2 linked regions of the Daphnia pulex genome follow. The protein of the gene in region 1 purifies or fractionates together with the protein of each later gene. This does not show direct contact. Links are inferred from orthologs where the notes say so. Each region holds a gene or a part of one and is shown on either strand. Other genes may lie near its edges.

Evidence for each region.
Region 2: the proteins of flap endonuclease 1-like (region 1) and cell cycle checkpoint protein RAD1-like purify together in Homo sapiens (affinity purification with western blotting; 3 studies listed by BioGRID). This does not show direct contact. The link is inferred for Daphnia pulex from reciprocal best matches to the Homo sapiens genes FEN1 and RAD1.

Annotation. Positions count from the first base shown.
Region 1 is NC_060025.1:1,071,647-1,076,136, reverse strand, and holds the start of flap endonuclease 1-like, read left to right. Parts: upstream 1-1,380; 5' UTR 1,381-1,491; intron 1,492-1,542; 5' UTR 1,543-1,650; coding exon 1,651-1,732; intron 1,733-1,790; coding exon 1,791-1,893; intron 1,894-1,954; coding exon 1,955-2,121; intron 2,122-2,213; coding exon 2,214-2,323; intron 2,324-2,380; coding exon 2,381-2,584; intron 2,585-2,643; coding exon 2,644-2,862; intron 2,863-2,937; coding exon 2,938-3,141; intron 3,142-3,217; coding exon 3,218-3,274; 3' UTR 3,275-4,015; intron 4,016-4,098; exon of another isoform or gene 4,099-4,194; 3' UTR 4,195-4,387; intron 4,388-4,451; 3' UTR 4,452-4,490. UniProt on the Homo sapiens protein: Structure-specific nuclease with 5'-flap endonuclease and 5'-3' exonuclease activities involved in DNA replication and repair.
Region 2 is NC_060028.1:2,684,560-2,689,315, reverse strand, and holds cell cycle checkpoint protein RAD1-like, read right to left. Parts: upstream 3,035-4,756; 5' UTR 2,908-3,034; exon of another isoform or gene 2,456-2,907; intron 2,397-2,455; exon of another isoform or gene 2,372-2,396; 5' UTR 2,292-2,371; coding exon 2,178-2,291; intron 2,079-2,177; coding exon 1,980-2,078; intron 1,920-1,979; coding exon 1,765-1,919; intron 1,697-1,764; coding exon 1,569-1,696; intron 1,513-1,568; coding exon 1,406-1,512; intron 1,343-1,405; coding exon 1,278-1,342; intron 1,253-1,277; exon of another isoform or gene 1,213-1,252; coding exon 993-1,212; 3' UTR 976-992; coding exon of another isoform or gene 940-975; 3' UTR 769-939; coding exon of another isoform or gene 657-768; 3' UTR 624-656; downstream 1-623. Other genes in the region: polymerase delta-interacting protein 2-like, read left to right, coding at 1-9, 90-253, 314-439, 499-578, 657-768. UniProt on the Homo sapiens protein: Component of the 9-1-1 cell-cycle checkpoint response complex that plays a major role in DNA repair. The 9-1-1 complex is recruited to DNA lesion upon damage by the RAD17-replication factor C (RFC) clamp loader complex.

The DNA of each region.
Region 1 (4,490 bases):
GCTATTCCGTCCGAATATTTAATTGCCGAGGTACTTTACCTATCCGAGCATTTAAAAGGGCTTCTTTGAAACAGTTGACATTTGATTTCAAAATAGAATTTATTTATAACTACTGCCGTTTACATGAGAAGATTAGAAGCTGGAAAGGAAACTTGTGATTGACTCAATCTCGTTCTTATAGCTATATAGCCTAGTGCTGATCACCCTGAGAGCTGCCAGGCGTCTAAACATGTATAGGTTATACTTTTAGCCTATAAAGTTGAGCGAGCTGCTGATGCTGGTGCTGAGATATGCTCAGATCGATTTTCGTTATGCAAAAGCTTTCGCCGTAGATTATAACGTGAAAAGCGGCAACGCCCGTTATATTCGCTCCTGCTGAAACCCGTTCGTGCTCTGCGCTGCCATGAATAAATATCAACCGATGCAAAACAGCCCAGAGCTTATGCTGCTGCTGTGCTGATGTCTGACGGGCATTTTGACATGGTCTGGCTGCTGCGACAGTTTTCGTCCGTTTTGCGGCCATTTGGGTGCGAGCGCAGTGGTCGTGGGCCCGCGGATTTGTCAAAATAAAAAGTCTAAAAATCCCTTTTCTACTAGTTATGCAAAATAAAAAGCCAATTGGATTTTCGCTGAACAGCTTCTTTTCTTCTTTTCTCTCTCCGTTGACGTCGGTTAGATAAGATATCACAAGCGTCAGTTGCATGTCAATGAACGAATCGATTTTGACCACCACAGCTGCTGTGCATTGGCTCGCATTGGCTGCTGGCGGATGGCGGATGCGGTATACACGTCGGGTGGAAAGAGACTGGAGAGTTAAGTGTGTCTTGATTCCGCTGTTCTGCATTTATTTGGCGTCAAGCGTTATGGGAGGGGACCAGGGAGGGAGGCGCATCCCCCAGCACCCTAACGAGAAAAGATGCCTGTCAAGAACTCATTAGGAGCGTCATGAATATACCTATACGTTTTTATTTAACCAAATGTCTATATAATAGCTGCGATGAAACCTTTAATTGTTTGAAGCGTTCCTGCATATTAATAACTGCGACAAGTGATGTTAATGTAAGTCTAAACAAATGAAATATCGACTCAATCGATGTTGCGAAATTCAAATGTCAAAATCATGTCAAAATCAAAAATGCCAAATCAACGACTAGGCTAGGCGACTAGGCAAATGACAATATAAAATAGTCTGACATGCTAATTATTTAGGGTATAATATTCTATAGAAACGGTTAATTAAGAGAAATTTAGACGGGAAAGTCGCTTTCAGCCGTTAAATCGCTTGCGCTAGCCCGCCTAGCCAGCAGATGGTTCTATCTCCGCCGCTAGATGCCGTCCGTGAGGCGGTATTATTATTGGGTTTGGCAACGCTGCATTCAGCTTTGCTGCTTCGTCTACTTTTTGGCGCCTTTTCCGTGACACAATTCGTGTTCTGCAGTCTTCCGGAGCTACTTTCTTATTTATTCATTTAAGATACACATACAATTTCATAACGTCTGTTGACTCGGAGCCCCATCAATCATAAAAAAAAAAAAAAAAAAAAACGTCTGTTGAAAATACTGGCATCAGTTTGATTTTAGAGAAAACAGAATTGAAGTTTCATAATAGTTCTTAAATCCTAGTTTCACCATTCGATTCTCACTGCTCAGAATGGGTATTAAAGGGCTGACCCAAGTGATTGGAGATACTGCTCCTACTGCCATTAAAGAAAATGAAATTAAGAACTATTTCGGTATCTTGTTAAATAATTCATCATGTAAATACCTGTAACCCTATTTGTGTTCTTTCAGGCAGAAAAGTTGCCATTGATGCTTCAATGAGCATTTACCAGTTTCTTATAGCTGTACGATCTGAAGGGGCTATGCTAACCTCTGCCGATGGAGAAACTACTAGGTTCAGTTTTACATATTTTCCATCCCTAAACAAGTATATTGAAATGTTTTCTTTCATACAGTCACTTGATGGGTATTTTCTACCGGACCATTCGGATGGTTGATAATGGAATCAAGCCTGTTTATGTGTTTGATGGAAAACCACCTGACATGAAAGGGGGTGAACTGACCAAAAGAGCAGAGAAAAGAGAAGAAGCATCAAAGCAACTGGTTCTTGCCACAGATGCAGGTATTTACAAGAATTTTATGGTTGTTCTGTGCAGAATTTTATGGTTACACGAAAATTGGTTTTTAATCTATCTATCTATCTATCTTCAATAGGTGATGCAGTGGAGATGGAAAAAATGAACAAGCGTCTGGTAAAAGTAAACAAAGGACACACTGATGAATGCAAACAACTACTTACTTTAATGGGAATACCTTATGTTGAGGTTGGTTGGCCGTTTTTGCATTGGCAACATTTCAGCATGACCATTTCATCTGTCTAGGCACCCTGTGAAGCTGAAGCTCAGTGTGCAGCTTTGGTGAAAGCAGGAAAGGTTTATGCAACTGCAACTGAAGACATGGATTCATTGACCTTTGGTTCCAATGTCCTGCTGAGATACTTGACATACAGTGAAGCCAAAAAAATGCCCATCAAGGAATTCCATTTGGATAAAATTTTGGACGGACTGTCGTACACAATGGATGAAGTAAAAATGCTCGAAGAAAATCTTAAAATGTTTGTCTTATTAAATTTTCAATTTCTTAGTTCATCGATCTATGCATCATGTTGGGCTGCGATTATTGTGACACGATAAAAGGAATAGGCGCCAAAAGAGCCAAGGAACTCATAGACAAACATCGATGCATTGAAAAGGTGATCGAAAACCTTGATACCAAAAAGTACACCGTCCCAGAAAATTGGCCTTATCAAGAAGCAAGACGACTATTCAAAACGCCTGATGTTACAGATGCAGAGACCCTTGACGTAAGCCTTAAACTTACTACGTGTCAGATCACAACCTAATCGCACTGTCCCATTGCCTCCTCTTTCCATATATAGTTGAAATGGACACAGCCAGATGAAGAAGGTCTAGTCAAATTTATGTGTGGTGACAAAAACTTCAACGAAGAGCGCATTCGCTCAGGCGCCAAGAAATTGTGTAAAGCGAAAACAGGGCAGACGCAAGGCCGACTTGATTCGTTTTTCAAAGTTCTTCCTTCTAGCAAACCGTCTACGCCTTCCACACCGGCTTCAAAGCGCAAGGTTGGTTGTATTATCTGTTTGTTTGTTTTTTACCGCATGATGCATTTAAAATTAATTTGCCATTTTTTATTAATAGGCCGAGGAACCGAAAAAGGGAAGCAAAGGAGGAGCCAAATTTAAGCGTGCAAAATAATTTATTTAATGCTGAAACAATGAATTGTGCCCATTATTATCGATGTAACTTGCTTACTCGTTTTACATGAGGCTATTACTATTAACCATGATTCATCACTTGTAATTCATTCATTTAAAATTTTGATTTCTAATTTTAATTATCATTGATCAGTAGTATCTTTATATTTATGGAATTCCTCGCCATTCGTTCCATTAGCTTATACTAAGTTTTCTCTGGCTAAAAGGAATGAGTTTTTGCTTCGACCGTCTTTTCTCTTTATACTTTGTGTAACTGATTCCGTGAAAGATGCAGTGCATATCTGAAATTCTCATTCGAGATAGTATCTTATTTTCGTTGTGGGAGTTTGAATTTCCCGTCTTCAAATTTCGTGTAATTAGTTATTTGTATAGCCTACTAGCCAGAAACAGCGTTAGGGCCTAGCCTAGTTTGAAAAATTACCCTTTGCCACCTGGTCCTCTAATGAGACATCTATCGTCAAAAAGAAAATTTAAGAAATAAAAAAAAAAAGGAAAAAACTCGAATAGCGATTACTTTATGAAACCTGAAAATTATCTATCAATCATTAGAAAACGGTATTTAGTTCAATTTATTATGCCACAAAATTACAGATAGATTGCTTGTGGCAGGATATTCGTTGTTTACAAAAATGTTCTATGCAGTATAGATGGCGTCTGTGTATCGCCTCAGATTAATATCTCACACTGCACATTCAGAGAACAGAAATTCCAAACATTAGAGGTACTTCGTATTCTAACAGAGAAAGAAATATTTTCAATTGTAGACTAATTTGGTCACATGTGTTTGTTGACAAAACACTTTAGGAAACTACTTGGAACTTAATAACGTATTTGTCTACTTTTGAATATTTACATATTGTTGGTGTGTGTCTGCGGATCCAAATGCCTTTACATCCGAAGCCTTGGAGAGTTTTACTTCTGTGTTTTAAATCGTTCATCGACCGATGATTTGAAAATGTTGCATAAAAAACGAGAGAGGAATATTTGTTCAGTCAATAACTGCAGATCATACAGAGAGGCTAATCGTTGGCCAGAGCCATTGACCTTTCATGAGTTTCCAGCAGACTTGGCAAGGAGGAAACTGTGGTTAGAAGTAAGATTTACATATAATTCAACAAGTGGGAGATTCTGAAAACTAATAATTTTTAATATTCTAGATAATAGAACGAGAAGACTGGGTGCCAGGAGACAAAGCG
Region 2 (4,756 bases), on another chromosome or scaffold:
CCGATAAAGGTTAATGTTTTCCCGCCCAGCTACATTGCGAATCTACTATCGAATTTTTTTAACACGAATCATCGATATATAAAGTGCAGATCCTCCGTTTGAAGCAAGAGAGACGTTGCGAGCGTGGCAAGAAAGAAATCACCCTTGGCTGGAATTATCAGATGTACACAAAGAAACGACAGAGAATATCCGTGTAACCGTTACTCCTTTTTACATGGGATGCCGAGAATCCCAAAATTCAACTGTCTTTTGGGTTCGTTCCATTGGTAATGTGAATCAAATTTTTTACAAATGTAATTTTTAACTTTTGCAGTGGCGTTACTGTATCCGGCTCGAAAACTTGGGAGAACTGTCTGTACAATTACGTGAACGGCACTGGCGTATTTTCAGTCTTTCGGGTACCCTAGAAACGGTTCGAGGAAGAGGAGTAATTGGACAGGTAATTAACGTCAATAACCACCGTTCAAAATTAGAATGTAACATTAAATCGTTCTTAAGGAACCGGTCTTGTCACCCGAACAACCAGCGTTCCAGTATAGCAGCCATATTTCACTACAAGCACCATCAGGGCATATGTGGTAATTTCAAGTTATTTTTCACTATTTATTAAAGAGTACAACAGCCAAGTTCAAATAATTTATTTTTTTTATGAACAGGGGAACGTTTCGAATGGAGAGAGAAGATGGGCACACCTTTGACTGTCGCATCCCTCCCTTTTCATTGGAAAGCAAGAACGAGGATAATAGCTTGCCAACCGGCGTGGTTTAATGGAGTCGTTCATGATAATCATGAAATATGAACAACAACAAACTTTGTACATGAAAGACAACTGCTGGCTTTTTAGTTTTTTCTAAGGTTTTCAAAGATCTTCGTTCTAGAATAATTCTAGGGCATTTTTTTCGTTTTAGTGATGCGGTCAATAATTCGTTCTCGTGGCATTCATTCGTCGTCGTCGAAGTCGACGTCCGCAGGGCACTATAAGAAATCAATTATTAGAGTGTATAAGGGAGAGGACGGTTGTAAAACGTAATTTGACGGATAGAACTTGGAAAAAAAAATGAACTTACGTAAAAATCGATGTAACAGTTGTGGTTGTCTTCTACCTTGATCATGAATTGGAAACATATGAGCCCCGTATCGTCGATTCGTAGCGAAACCTTTTGCGCTATTCCAAGGGGTTTGATGGATGGTTTCATCAAGGAGAGCTTGTATCTAAAGTCAGAAATTGAGCTAATACATCGTGTACGCCTTATTATGTATGTGTATCTATTTCGTACTTAAAGGACACTGCCGAGGTACAACGAAGAGTTTCTATTACATCGCTCTCTTTCGGAATATCGACCTTGAAACCCAAAACGTTTAGAATTAGAACGCGCTTCACTAAAAACTTTACAACGTGATTTACATGATAAGTTCCTGAATGACCAAATGTTGTGATACGAAAATTTGACGAATCAGGTGACAAAGAAAACTGAACAGTATCACTAGTCGAGTCCAACTCACAAAACACCTCTATAAAAACAATAATTATATTAGGAAATTTCTGTCTTCTTTCAACGCTTAATTACCTTTAAGACATTCCGAACTCATAATGATACGACCGATGACGTTAGCCGACCCAAAATCGTAATCCAGGACAGGATCAAAATGAACTGTACGTATCTTGCAGTCAGTGATAACTCCTGATTCTTCCAGCCTGCCAAAAAAAAAAATTATAATTCGAAATAAGTATAAAGAACGATTATTCTTTGTAGTTTTACATACAAGATAGAAACGGGAGTCCCATGGCCGTTATAGTAGAGTTTCAAGGCTGGTGTGCTGCCACTTTGAAGGTTGTTAGAGCCAAATACATTCAAACATTCCAGAAGCACAGTTAAATTAAGCTGAAATTTAATCTCATCTTCTTTAATAACATAACTCTAAATTTCAAAGAGTTAGTAAATTTTGTGAAAATTATTGTTTTTGTGAATTCTTTTTACTTGAAAAACTCCAGGCTCTATAAAGGCATTTAGCTGGACACTTTTCATGTCTTCAACTGTGACTTTTAATCCATCTCTAGTACAGCAAAATACGGAATTCTGAAAGGAAAGCAAAATCACAAGAAGGATGTAATAGGATTAGCTTTTGATCGCTAACAAAACATGTTTTCTCTGTATTACAATTCTTGAAGAATTTACCTCTTTGAAATTTATGGATTTGAGGATATGTGAGATAATTTTTGCATTATCCATACGTATCATCAAGATGTGACTTTGGTCTCCAGACGTGTTTTGAAATGGAAAATTTGGCATGGTGAATGTGGGACTCGTTTGCTCTTTAATGTTGTGGGAGTAGTTTTGAGAATTATGCAAAGGGTTCCTAAAGGATCATCCTGAAATGATCAGTGAAAAAATGTTCTGGTTAATAAGGCTAGGATTTTTTACAGAAAAATGTACTGCACAAAAAATGAACCGACCCAACTGTTACATCCAAGAGAACTATGATTCGAGACGAATTATTCTAGTTTTGACTGAATTCAAAATCTGGTTGTGTTTATCACAATCAACTATACAGCACAATCAAATTTGTTGGATTTAAAAAGTGCTAAACTGTCTGCAATGGAATGGAAGTAAAAATTTCAAGTTTTAATCTCGAGACGACGAAAAAGCCTACCGGCTTATTGATTCAAACAGGAAAATATTGTTATTATTAAACAGAAAGTCAGAAACATTGCGGCGTTGTACAACGCGAGAAAACAACAGTTTAGAGATGGGGAATTCGAAAATGAGCACGCCCATTGGTCGTATGCGACCATTGCGCCACCTAGAAATGTTTTGGCTTCCAAACATAGTTTTCAACTGATTAAGGCAGCGGGAAATGAATTTAAATGTAAAAGTCATGAAAAGATGAAATTTTAAATAAAAATACATAAAAGCAGTAAAGGACGAATGAAAAAAGAACCAAGTTGATGGCTGTTGATGGTTCGGAGCGAGGGAGAAAACTTGCCGCCAGTATCGTTGTTGTAGCGGTCGACGCGTGTACTCAGTTCGGTACCGCCTTAGTTGGCGGTGTTGAAGGGGAGCAGTTCTCTTTCACGTGCGAGGAGCAACGTGATAACAGATACAAGACAAAAAACAGCCCAAACGTCTTTTTCGGTGCTGAGACTTAAACCGTGAAGTGAAGTGTAATTCTTTTGTGGCTAAGTATGTGTGCAATCGAGTTTCGATTGTTTGATTTACCGGCATTTATAACCCAGTAATTCGGCACGTAGACTACTCGGCAAGCAGCAATAGTAGTAGCTTCGGCGCCCCCAAGAAAACCTAAAGGCAAAAATCGGTGACGCCCATTTTGGTGACGTCATCGCTGGGACACGTGTAGCCTGGTGCCTCGCTTGAAGTGCGTAGTTTTTCTCGATAATATTATCTTGTGATGTAGTGTTAGTTTTCAAACGTCACTTTGGCGATCAGAGTGACTTTGGTTTTTCGACTAAATGCAGTATCTTTTGCCGATTTAATTCTTGTCGCATTTAGTTTAGACATTAAAAGCAAGCAAACAAAGAGGCATTTTCCTCTTGTTAAAAGTTTTCTTTTGATAGACTATAGAGAGCTCATTCAAGGCCGCCAGCCTCAGGCCAAAATGAAACGAGTACTGAAACCCAAAAGCGAATGACCCTGTGTGCGTGCGTCTGTGTGAATTTTTATTTTTTTTTTCATTTGATATTGATGCAATGTGGATCCTGGATGTCATCGTTGTTGTTCAATGCTGTTACACTGTTGACTAAAACTGTTTGTGTCTTCTTGACCCACAGGTCTAACACTCAGCGGCTGGTGGTTGTCCAACAATGAGTTTGGAGATTCTCCTGGAAGCCGCTCTATTTGTAGAGCGACAGACCCAAGGTAATTGCTTTGCACAAGTTTAATCTAGTCCCCGTTCCCTCCTAGAAACAAGCAGGATTGCTCATACTGACATCAGTTTGTGCATGCAAAGTCTTTATAATATCAGACTGCTTAGAAGCTCGTGCACCCCCAGTCTTGAATTTCTCGAGCTCTGCAGAGCCAAAGGTTGTGAATCAGTTCCCTATTGTGTTTGGTGTTGGAGGATATGAGCTCATCAATCTTTTGGTTTTCTGGCCTTTGAATCTGTAATTGCCCCCGCCAGGTGCCTCTGTTGGAGCGTGTCTTTTTTATTTTATTTCTTCTTCTTCCCCAACGTCACACTACGGTCATCGAGAATGTCGACATCGATTGTTGACCTCGATCTCTACGAAGTTAGAGCCTGCGCATTGGCATTTTGACGTTGGCAACAGTCCATTCAAAAAAGCTCCTCCTCCTCTTTTATTTTTCCAGGCTCGCCAAGAACAAGCAAGAACGGGTGTCGGGAGTGGGAGAGAGAGAGGTGGGTGAGGAGAGCGATCTATTTGCGCAACTGCGAATCTCGGGGAGAGTGGCGTGCGTGCGCGGGTAACACGCCGAAATAGATCCGAAAAAAGGGTGGCAAAGCCCCGCCCACTTCGGTTCCACAACCCGCACGTGCTAACCAGTGTGTGTGTGTGTGTGTATCCCGCTCGCACTGGGAGGGTGGTGGTGTGCATTGTAGAGCGGATGGGGGAGGTCAAGAGCTAGATAGGAAAGAGAGAGAGTCCGGGAGTGAAAACAAAGTCGTCGCGCACGCAGCCAACGACATGGCTGATTATATAAGAGAGGGGGGAGGGAGGGAGAGCGTGCGGTAACGGGTGGCAAGTGATGATGGTAGGTGGAGGAGGAGGAGGAGAAGGAGG